Arabidopsis thaliana: one gene and its partners. The protein of the gene in region 1 interacts with the protein of each later gene in a pairwise test. Each region holds a gene or a part of one and is shown in the gene's direction. Other genes may lie near its edges. The genes, in order: GPT, PIN6 and RPK2.

Evidence for each region.
Region 2: the proteins of GPT (region 1) and PIN6 interact in a protein complementation assay, tested with the Arabidopsis thaliana proteins (one large-scale study listed by BioGRID).
Region 3: the proteins of GPT (region 1) and RPK2 interact in a protein complementation assay, tested with the Arabidopsis thaliana proteins (one large-scale study listed by BioGRID).

Annotation. Positions count from the first base shown.
Region 1 is NC_003071.7:17,299,796-17,303,552, forward strand, and holds the start of GPT (UDP-glcnac-adolichol phosphate glcnac-1-p-transferase), read left to right. Parts: upstream 1-1,776; 5' UTR 1,777-1,966; coding exon 1,967-2,349; intron 2,350-2,427; coding exon 2,428-2,515; intron 2,516-2,603; coding exon 2,604-2,695; intron 2,696-2,784; coding exon 2,785-2,903; intron 2,904-3,011; coding exon 3,012-3,127; intron 3,128-3,216; coding exon 3,217-3,344; intron 3,345-3,438; coding exon 3,439-3,525; intron 3,526-3,689; coding exon 3,690-3,750; intron 3,751-3,757.
Region 2 is NC_003070.9:28,968,973-28,972,729, forward strand, and holds the start of PIN6 (Auxin efflux carrier family protein), read left to right. Parts: upstream 1-1,741; 5' UTR 1,742-1,882; coding exon 1,883-2,313; intron 2,314-2,578; coding exon 2,579-3,210; intron 3,211-3,757. UniProt on the Arabidopsis thaliana protein: Component of the intracellular auxin-transport pathway. Regulates auxin transport and auxin homeostasis. Directly involved in the regulation of nectar production. Involved in unfolded protein response (UPR) activation.
Region 3 is NC_003074.8:378,306-382,062, forward strand, and holds the start of RPK2 (receptor-like protein kinase 2), read left to right. Parts: upstream 1-2,044; 5' UTR 2,045-2,420; coding exon 2,421-3,757. Other genes in the region: AT3G02125 (pinin-like protein), read left to right, coding at 1-678, 789-1,077.

The DNA of each region.
Region 1 (3,757 bases):
ATAAGATCAAATCTATATCTTAGTTAATATTAAAAATTATTAACAATTAACAAAACATAATTCATAATAATAAAACATTTGTTAATACCATATATATTAAAAATTTGACCAATAACATATATATATATTTTTTTTGTTAATTTTCCTTTTGGTTAAGAAAAATAAAATGTAATATTTTTTAGATATAGAAATATGAATTAGTATATGTTAATAATGATTTCTTTTTTTAGTTTTCTATTTCTTTAAGAAAAAAAAAGTTAATTATTTTCTTACACATGGCAACATCTGATCGATAGACTTGACACGTGGCATAATCTTATGAGTTAGTAACTTTGAAAACCATACTTTATATAATAAGATTTTTTTTTGTTAATTTTTCTTTTGGTTAAGAAAAATAAAATGTAATATTTTTTAGATATAGAAATATGAATTAGTATATGTTAATAATGATTTATTTTTTAGTTTTCTATTTCTTTAAGAAGAAAAAAGTTAATTAATTTATTTTTTAGTATTTCTATTTCTTTAAGAAGAAAATGGTTAATTATTTTCTTACACATGGCAACATCTGATCGATAGACTTGACACGTGGCATAATCTTATGAGTTAATAACTTTGAAAACCATATTTTATATAATAAGATGTTGATTTATTCTTACTTTTTTTGCTATATCTTTCCTTATATTTCATACTTAATATTTTTTTTTTGTTTCTAAGATACATACATTAACTCTCATATTTATTGTCTTAACTAAATTTTACTTTTATTTGTACACGTGGCTTCCCCCCACAATATTTTTGACCCAAATCCAAAAAAAAAAAAACACTATCAATAATATTTCCTCTTACCATTTATGTCTTACACACAAGTGTCAAAATATAGTAGAAGACATAGAAAATGTTTAGATTATGATTAAATATCACAAAACTTTTGTGACATAAATCATGATCCATATGCATCCAAGTTCTAATAATAGGTCGATTCGATCTTGTAAAAAAAAAAAGTAATTAATAGTAAAAGATTTTGTATTGAATTTTGAGATATTTTTCTCTCACTATAAAAAGATGAATTGTGTAGCTAGAGATCATAACAAACTCTGAGGAGATTCAAGCTAAGGTACATTTACAAAAACTTATTTTAAATTACAATGGGTTGTTGCATTTTCGAAACTGATCCTACAGACCAATAAGTACTATTCAGTTAATTTGAAAACACTTACAAAAAAAACTAAGATATAATTTAGCAACTTTAACATTTTTTATTATGTTTGTAGGGACATTAATGGGAAACTGGTGTAGTTGTGTAACAAAAGATGAAAATAGTGATAATTCTAGTAGCTCTCAAACTTCTACGGATAAAGAAAGTAGTGTGCAAGTTTCTTCTGTGAGCACTACGTCTTCTTCAGAGATTTCATCTGAATGTTCTTCTTCAAAATGATCATCTCAAAGCTCCCAATGATGGAAGCGTAACTAGTGAGCAAATGTCGCATGGATCATCTTCTTCATCTTATCAATAAAAAAATCTTCAAAATAAATAATTTTCTATGTCAATTTTTATATTAAAAGAAACTTTGTTAAAAATTATGACTATTAATTAATAACTATATTATTACATAATCTTTTAAATATAAGTTTTAGTTTTAATTTTTAATAGTTGCTTTATGTCATGCTGATGTGTTGCTACAACAAAATTCTTAGCAAAATTTATGCATTTTTTTCTTAAAAAAAGAGAGTTCTATAAGTATAATCCAAGATATATTCTTGTACTTAATACGAATAATTAAAGTTATGATTAATCCATAAAGTTCTATTTCGATGACACGGTGTCGTATTTGAAGCGACGTGGCAAATCCTTATTGGTCTATATGACGCAGAACGGGAATTGCTCTGAAGAATCCTTTCTCAGGCGAACGGAGTTTGGAGTCAAAATCCAGAGCGCGGGGAAACGAAACGAGCCAACAAATCCGCCATGGCAGCTCGTAAGAGAGCTTCATCGATCTCAATTCCCAACAAACCGGACCCGTCGGAACCCAACTCAGCGCCATCGGAGCAGAAGATGACCCGAAAGACGGTTTCTGCTTCCGGTGAGGAATTTCGTCTCGCGCCGCCGAAATTAGGAGTGATCTTCGTGATCTCTACTCTTCTCTGTTCGCTCTATCTATACCTTCTCTGTTTTCACTACAAGGTTGATAATGAGCTCAAGCGATCGATTCTAATTAACGCGGGGCTTAGCTTGGTTGGGTTTTTCGTCACTCTCAAAATGATTCCTGTTACTGCCAGATACGTTCTGAGACGTAACATGTTTGGTTTTGATATCAACAAAAGAGGCACGCCTCAAGGAGATATTAAAGTGTGAGTTTTTATCAATCTCTGATTTTCCAAAGATTAAGATTAGTTTGATTAAAATTTCTTCATCCTCTTTGTTTTCAGGCCAGAGTCATTGGGTATTGTTGTTGGTATTGTCTTTTTGATCGTGGCGATAATATTTCAGTATTTTAACTTCACTGAAGATTCTAATGTAAGTGTGCATTAACGTCTTGTTTTATTAATCTCTGTGGTTATTCTCATTATCAATGTTTGTGAGTCTGGCTGATGATTCTGTGCAGTGGCTTGTGGAGTATAATGCAGCACTAGCATCTATTTGCTTCATGATTTTGCTTGGATTTGTAGATGATGTCCTTGATGTGCCTTGGAGAGTGTAAGTCCTAATTCCTACATATTTTTTTGATGAAATTCACGCTTATCGTTTTTGATTCACATGTTTACTGTTGTCAATTTAAACAACAGAAAGCTTGTCCTGCCATCTTTTGCTACCCTTCCACTTTTGATGGCTTATGCTGGTCATACAACTATTGTTATACCAAAACCTCTTGTTGCTTATATTGGCTTGGAAGTGCTTAATCTAGGTAATGGTTCTTGTACATGATACCACCTATTTGTACACATTGACTTGTATTTTTCTTTTGAGGAGGTAAATGATTATGATTAGCTCAATAGATGTTTTAACGTGGCAGGAAGGATATATAAGTTATATATGGGGCTACTTGCTGTCTTTTGTACAAACTCTATTAACATCCACGCTGGTCTGAATGGCCTTGAAATCGGTCAAACAGTTGTTATTGCCGCTGCTGTAAGTCTTATGGTCATACATAATGTCTCTGAATTTTTCTCATTTTGTTTCTTTTGGGTTGAGATATGATGCATCCCAGTTACCTGTAGATCCTGATACACAACGTTATGCAAATCGGAGCATCTGTTGATCCCGAGTATCACCAAGCTCATGCCTTCTCGATATTTCTTACTCAACCGCTGATGGCCACATCCTTGGCAATGCTTGCTTACAATTGGTAAAATCCCTAGCAGGCTTTCTCTTTAAAACTTTTTTTTTTTGAGTGGAAGTAATGATATTTCTGACCAGTTCTCGCAATCTTCTGCTGTTAGGTATCCTTCTTCAGTTTTTGTTGGAGACACTTACACAGTCTTCGCCGGAATGACTATGGCAGTTGTTGGTATTCTGGGTCACTTCAGGTATACTTCCAAACCCACTTATCTTCTCTGAGGCACAGGCACTTCACTAATACATGGAAACTACCAACTCTTAGATTGATCATTTGCATCATATATCCAGCTACTGTATGACCATGCAACTGATTCCCATGCCATCTTTCTGTATTGAAATTTTGCTTCTGCAGTGAAACCCTCCTCATCTTCTTTCTTCCTCAAGTTCTGAACTTTCTATTATCGCTTCCTCAGGTTCATA
Region 2 (3,757 bases), on another chromosome or scaffold:
ATACTTTGGTGGTAACGTAAAGAGACGAGGTGACATAACATTACGATATAGAATGATAAAGACAGCTTCGCTAGTCGTCGAGAAACAAACAAACTTGCTTATCCTGAATTGTTTTAGTCAGATTCATGTGTGTACTAATATATACAGACAATATAGGTTACATGAGGCTTTGATGCCATTACCCATCGGGGAAAATAATCATAACTATAAGTGATTATATATATTATCCTACATAACTCTTGTCTGCACATTTTGGTTAGAAAGTAGGGTTACTTAATATTTATCTTAGGTTAGATATATAGGACGGAATCAATAATCCCAAACTTTTTTGTAGCCTTTCGTTGACAAAGTAAATTATTTATTTTATAAGAAAAAGGTTACGTATGACTTAGTTCTTGCAATTGCCAAAAGGCTAAAGGCTAAAGGCTTTTAAGCTTGAGAGTAAAAGGCTAACACTGTAAGTCTCCACCCATTTCGCCGATATCATTGATCTTAGATTCTATGAGGATCTCCTTTCACTTTCTTTATGTATATATGTACAATTTCTGTATATCTATGTGAATAAATTAAGAACAAGGTAATCATGTCTCTGTGGACCCTTTGCTTAATTGTGACATATGTATTGTTAGTACAAGAAGCTCATTACATTCCTTTTATATGGTCAGAAGTTCCAAACATTTTCTAGTTTCAGATATGTTAGCTTTCCATATTTTAAGAAAATTAGTAAACCTGACTCTACTTCATTATTGATTGTTTTAATTTGTTTTTTGAATAATTGATAACTGGTTCTTTTATATGTTAAAAGACGAATTTCATGATATTGTTCTTGAGCATAGCGAGACGAGGTATATAATGGTGGGAAGATACATCAAAAGAGTTGCATGAGACAAAAACAAAATGGAAATTGTCATGTCATTAATGACTGACCAATTTCCGTAGCTTTAACTAGAAAGCTTCAAATTTGAAGTATATACTTTATCTTCATTTTTCGTGCATGTATTTCTAGTAGATTTTGAATTGAATAGTCATATAGCTTTTCGTCATAAAACACACCAGAAATAAGAAGTTTAATAATCAATAAAAGAAAACAAAAGAGTTAGGGGGATAATTTGGGTGAAAGCCTATTTCGACAAGACACCAAGTGTGATAGTTTTGGATAAACAGATATTTTTTATCCGAGTTTGCTGCAACTGTATGCAAAAAGTGTAAAATACTGCAAAAGTAGATATACACTTGCTAAAAGTGAAAATACTGTAAAAGTAAAAATAAGAGAAAAGAAAACAAAAGAGTTAGGTCAATAATAAGGGTGCAAAGCTCACTTAAGCAAAACACAGAATTTTCAATTTTGGGTAAACAAAGTGTACTTTTTTCTTGAATTACGAAATTTTGTTTATTATATAGATTTCTGAAATAAGAGACTTATGCGTGTACATATTGAGAATGATTATACGGGTTACAAAGCAAATCTATTGCATGAAGTTATTCTAAATATTCTATTAAAATCTTTTTCCCGGTTTGGATTAGATTTTCAATAATTTAATTATGAAGTTGAATTAAAAAAAAAAAAGAGTAACAAATCAACTTATTAATTAATTTTAAAATTGTGATGAGTCTATTTAATGAGAATTTTAGAGATTAAAATAATGATGAGGTCCAGAAAAAGAAAGTGCTTTATATATAGATTTCCAACTATATATGTATAGCAGCAGTATTTTACCAATCTATATAATAATCACTAATCCCTCCCTAATGCAATTTCATAACGAAGCTAACTAAGGGGTAATCTCGTCAACAAGTCTCTATATAACCCAACACACAAACATTTGGCACATAACTTAACCTACATAGTACATACCAAGAAGAAGAAGAGGCAAAGAAAAAGATGATAACGGGAAACGAATTCTACACGGTGATGTGTGCCATGGCACCACTCTACTTCGCCATGTTCGTGGCTTATGGATCGGTAAAGTGGTGCAAGATCTTCACGCCGGCGCAATGTTCCGGAATCAACCGTTTTGTCTCCGTTTTCGCCGTCCCAGTCCTCTCTTTCCACTTCATCTCACAAAACAACCCTTACAAAATGGACACAATGTTCATCCTCGCCGACACTTTGTCCAAAATCTTCGTCTTCGTTTTGCTCTCTCTATGGGCCGTTTTCTTCAAAGCCGGTGGTCTCGATTGGCTCATCACTCTATTCTCAATCGCTACTCTCCCTAACACTCTCGTTATGGGCATACCTTTGCTTCAGGCCATGTATGGAGATTACACTCAAACCCTCATGGTCCAACTCGTTGTTCTTCAATGCATCATTTGGTACGTTATCAAATTACTATCCGTTCTTTATTCATTTACCCTGTGATTGATTAGAAAACCTCATAATAATGGAATTATTTTGTGATTTCACATATTTTTACCACACATTTTTTCATGGATTTTGTAACCAAAACTTAAATGAATTTCGTTACTCTAGGATATAATTCAACCAAATCAAATGTTTTTACTAACCCAAGCTTCTTATTAGTTGAATTATTTAATTATAACGTATGATAATATAAGCTAAGTGTATATACATGTATAGGTATACTCTGCTACTATTCCTCTTTGAACTCCGAGCAGCGAGGTTGCTTATCCGAGCAGAGTTTCCGGGTCAAGCAGCCGGATCAATCGCCAAGATCCAAGTCGACGATGACGTCATTTCCTTAGACGGCATGGATCCGCTCCGTACAGAAACTGAAACCGATGTTAACGGTCGGATCAGGCTCAGGATCCGACGGTCCGTATCATCCGTACCTGATTCTGTTATGTCCTCCTCCTTGTGCTTAACCCCTAGAGCCTCTAATCTTTCTAACGCCGAGATTTTCTCCGTCAACACTCCTAATAACCGTTTCTTCCACGGCGGAGGAGGAAGCGGTACCCTTCAGTTTTATAACGGTAGTAACGAGATCATGTTTTGTAACGGAGATTTAGGCGGGTTCGGATTTACTCGACCCGGATTAGGTGCAAGTCCTAGAAGGCTCTCGGGTTATGCTTCCTCCGATGCTTACTCGTTGCAGCCAACACCACGTGCCTCGAACTTTAACGAGCTTGACGTTAACGGAAACGGTACGCCGGTTTGGATGAAATCTCCTGCCGCCGGGAGAATATACCGGCAATCTTCGCCGAAGATGATGTGGGAGTCTGGGCAAAGACATGCAGCCAAAGATATCAATGGTACGTTTTCTTTGAAAGATGTGTCGTTTTCGTTTTTCGTTAGCACTGACACGACGGCGTTTAGTCAATTTTCTTCTCTTTTCGTGTTTTTCTTTATCATTGGTTCTTTTAAAAGATTTAATGAATAGAAAAACATTGATAGACTACATAAAATGCAGCTTTTCAGAAATAAAAAAACTTAGCATTGTCTCTTTTACTTTCCAAATCCCTAGGAATTAACTAATTAGAAATTCAATCTAATTTTATAAAATTTATAAGTAATAGTCACTAAATCCCACTTATTTTATTTTTTTGTGTGGAAACTTTTGAATTTTGATACTTCATGTTTTTGAGCTTAAGATTCTATAGGACAACATGATGAAGCATGTAAACAAAGCGGACCCCTCATACCACCCACACACTTACTATCATCAATAAAATCACCAAAATGGTCAACATGATGTTGACTTTTTTGTTTCTCATGATGTTTTTGGACTCATCAAATTAATGTCCATTCTAAAGAATTTATTTGGGAGATTCTATCATTTTCCTCTAGCTCACGTGTGTA
Region 3 (3,757 bases), on another chromosome or scaffold:
ACACTTTGATATCCGACACTTTCCTCTTCCCAAGCCATCATTGTCTGCTTCTGAGGCACAGAAACTGAGAGAGTCACATCAGGCTTATAATTCATCTGTTAGCTCATATACCAGTTCCTCTTGGTCCTCAAATCACCAGAACCATCTTATTGATTTACCCGGTTACGATCCAACCAGAATTCCATCCTCAGTTTTCTCTAGTAAACCGGGTAATTCGACGGAATGGAGTCTAGCTTCTAATGAATCTTTGTTTAGCATCCACGATGGGAATTTTAGCATTTCAACAGCGTTGAGATTGGCTGAGATACCGAGATTTGAAGAAACGGTTCACGTGATAACCGAAATCAACTCGGTTCCTCTTCCACCTCCGGTTAAGAAACCAAATGAATATGAGAAAGAGACGATTGCAGAGAAGGAACCATACCAGGTGGAGAACTCAAACTCAGATATTGAGGATAATGAAGAAGAAGAGAAGATGAGTGAAGTCGAGAGCGACGACGAACATGAAGAAGAACAAACAGATATGATCGAAGCGGAGGCTTTAGTAGAGAAAGAAGTAATAGAAACTGTGAAGGAGAATAAACCTGAAGACTCGAACAGTATAGTTTCACATTCTCCGAGCATTTCTTGTCGTTCGGACACTAGCAATAACAGCATTGGTTCTTTCGCATTCCCACTGTAAGTCGTTCTCTTCAAAATCTCAATTTATCGATCCATTTTTGATGATTTCTTGAGCAAGAAGAAACTTTAAAACCCTAATTTTACTTTCTTTGGAATTTATGTAACAGATTGCAAAAAGAAGATGCAGTTACCAAAACGCCGTCTATGCAAATCAAAGGAAACGTTTCCCACAAGCGAAGACCCGAGTATCAGCTGCCTCAATCGCGAATGCTACAGCCACAACAACAACTACAACCTTATTCAGAATCTAATATGCTAACTGAGTCTCAGCCGGAACCACAACCACAAAGGAAGGCATCAAAAAAATTCGAGTCTCGAACGCAATCGCTAAAAGCTTCAAGAACCTGCTGGTTCTCTTGCTTCCATTGTCCTTCAAAATGCGGTTCATTCAAGTAGAGGAGACTTTTAGCGTTTGCGTTTGAAGCGATTCCTCTTCTTATGTGTAAATTGTACGGATGAAAATAGTTGTAAACCAAGAGTGATGATCCAAACCGAGTTCTGGTTTTCAGGATTAACACCATATTTTGGTTCGATTAATTTCGGTTACCGGATGTTGTAAACCGGTTGATGGATGATATAACTCTTATGTCATGGTGATGCATACATACAAGGACCACATTTCATTATTACTTTATTTCAATACGTATCATTATTATAAGTAGTAGCTAAAAGACAGATATATTTCACTAAAAGAAAAACAAACCTTTTTTTCTTCTAATTGAAAAGGTTATAAACTCAGTCTTTTTATCCCCATAAATGTGGCTAATGTGTTGTGTACATGACAAAATTATAAATTTATATTTAAGAAAAAACATTTTAATTTGCTTTATCTTGAAGCTTCCTTTAGTTATATCCTTGAAAAGAGGCGATTCTGTCCCTTTTTCACTTTACAATTTCTCAATATTTTTGTTATAAAGAAACACATCTTTGTCACATGCATTTATGTATAGTGGCAGGCGATTTTTCTTTTAGCGTGAGATTATGAAATTTTCCTAATATAATGCATGTCCATATACATATATCTATCTGTAATAAATGTTAGCTTCAAGATCTTAGCATAACATTGGTCGATGAGAGATTGATACGTCTAGGAGAGTTGAAATATTGTTACATTTATTGTGACTCAACATATTTTATTTCATCACTTCGAATAAACAAAAAATTTAAAATAATCTGTCCTCAAATTTAGTGATAAGATAATCTTGCATCTACCTACTGTTATCAATCATGTACCTATTGCGATTTGATGTGGTGAGACTACAATGATCGATGTTAAAAACTTTTAATGTTAACTTCACTACATGATCGATAAATAATCAAAAATTGCTTCTTCCAAGTTAAAATTACACTAAAGAGTTTGTTAGCCAATAGGAAATAAGGAAAGTGGACCCACTCTCTCATTCACAGAACGATTTTTTATTTTTTTCTGCATAAATTAAATTAAAAACATTTTTAAGATCTTTTATCAAAAAAAAAAAAAAAGAGAGAGAGAAGAAAAAAACGCGTCTTCCTCAGTGACAGTGTTGAATTCTCTCATCTCTTTCTCTCTCTGCTTCATCAGTTTCTCTCACTACAAAGCTTCTCATCATCTCCCTAAATTAGGGTTAAAGGGTCGAGCTTGGGATTGTTTCGCACGGTAAAAGGAAGGATCTTTTGCTCGTCAATTGCTATATTAGCAGACCTTGCGAGGTGGGTTTAGGGTTTTGTTGTAAAAACATTTTTGGGGATAAGTTACGAAGATGACTTCTTTGCCTTCTTCAGTGATCAAATGGCGTTTTTTCCGCAGACAGATGCCTTCAGACGTTGTCTTCTCGCTCTGCTTACTCTGTTTCGCCTCCTGTCTCGCCGGAAAAATCACTGTTTTAGCTGATTCGGACAAATCCGTGTTGCTTCGGTTTAAGAAAACGGTATCGGACCCTGGTTCGATTCTAGCTAGCTGGGTCGAAGAGAGTGAAGATTACTGCTCCTGGTTTGGTGTATCTTGCGATTCGAGCTCTCGAGTCATGGCTCTTAACATTAGTGGCTCTGGAAGTTCTGAAATTAGTCGAAATCGTTTCACTTGTGGTGATATTGGTAAGTTTCCGTTGTATGGGTTTGGTGTTCGGAGGGATTGTACCGGAAATCATGGAGCTTTGGCGGGGAATTTGCCTTCTGTAATCATGAGTCTCACAGGACTTAGGGTTTTGTCTCTGCCTTTTAATTCGTTTAGTGGAGAGATTCCTGTAGGAATCTGGGGAATGGAGAAGCTTGAAGTTCTTGATCTGGAAGGGAATTTGATGACGGGGTCATTGCCGGATCAGTTTACTGGGTTACGGAATTTGCGGGTTATGAATTTGGGGTTTAACAGAGTTTCAGGTGAAATCCCTAATTCGCTGCAGAATCTGACAAAGTTGGAGATTTTGAATTTGGGTGGTAATAAGTTGAATGGAACTGTTCCTGGTTTTGTTGGGAGATTCAGAGTGTTGCATTTGCCGTTAAACTGGCTTCAAGGCTCTTTGCCTAAAGATATTGGGGATAGCTGTGGAAAGCTTGAGCATTTAGATTTGTCTGGTAATTTCTTGACTGGGAGGATTCCAGAGAGTTTGGGGAAATGTGCTGGTTTAAGGTCGTTGTTGTTGTATATGAATACGTTGGAGGAGACTATCCCTTTAGAATTTGGGAGTCTTCAGAAGCTTGAGGTTTTGGATGTTTCTAGGAACACTCTTAGTGGTCCATTACCTGTTGAACTTGGAAATTGCTCTTCGTTGTCTGTTCTCGTTCTATCAAATCTGTACAATGTGTATGAAGACATTAATAGTGTAAGAGGGGAAGCTGATCTTCCTCCAGGCGCTGATTTAACCTCGATGACCGAGGATTTCAATTTCTATCAAGGAGGAATCCCGGAGGAAATCACTAGGCTTCCGAAACTAAAGATACTTTGGGTGCCCAGAGCTACGTTAGAAGGTAGATTTCCAGGAGATTGGGGTTCATGTCAAAACTTGGAGATGGTTAATTTGGGTCAGAACTTCTTTAAAGGCGAAATTCCTGTCGGTCTTAGTAAATGCAAGAACCTTCGTCTTCTTGATTTGAGCTCGAA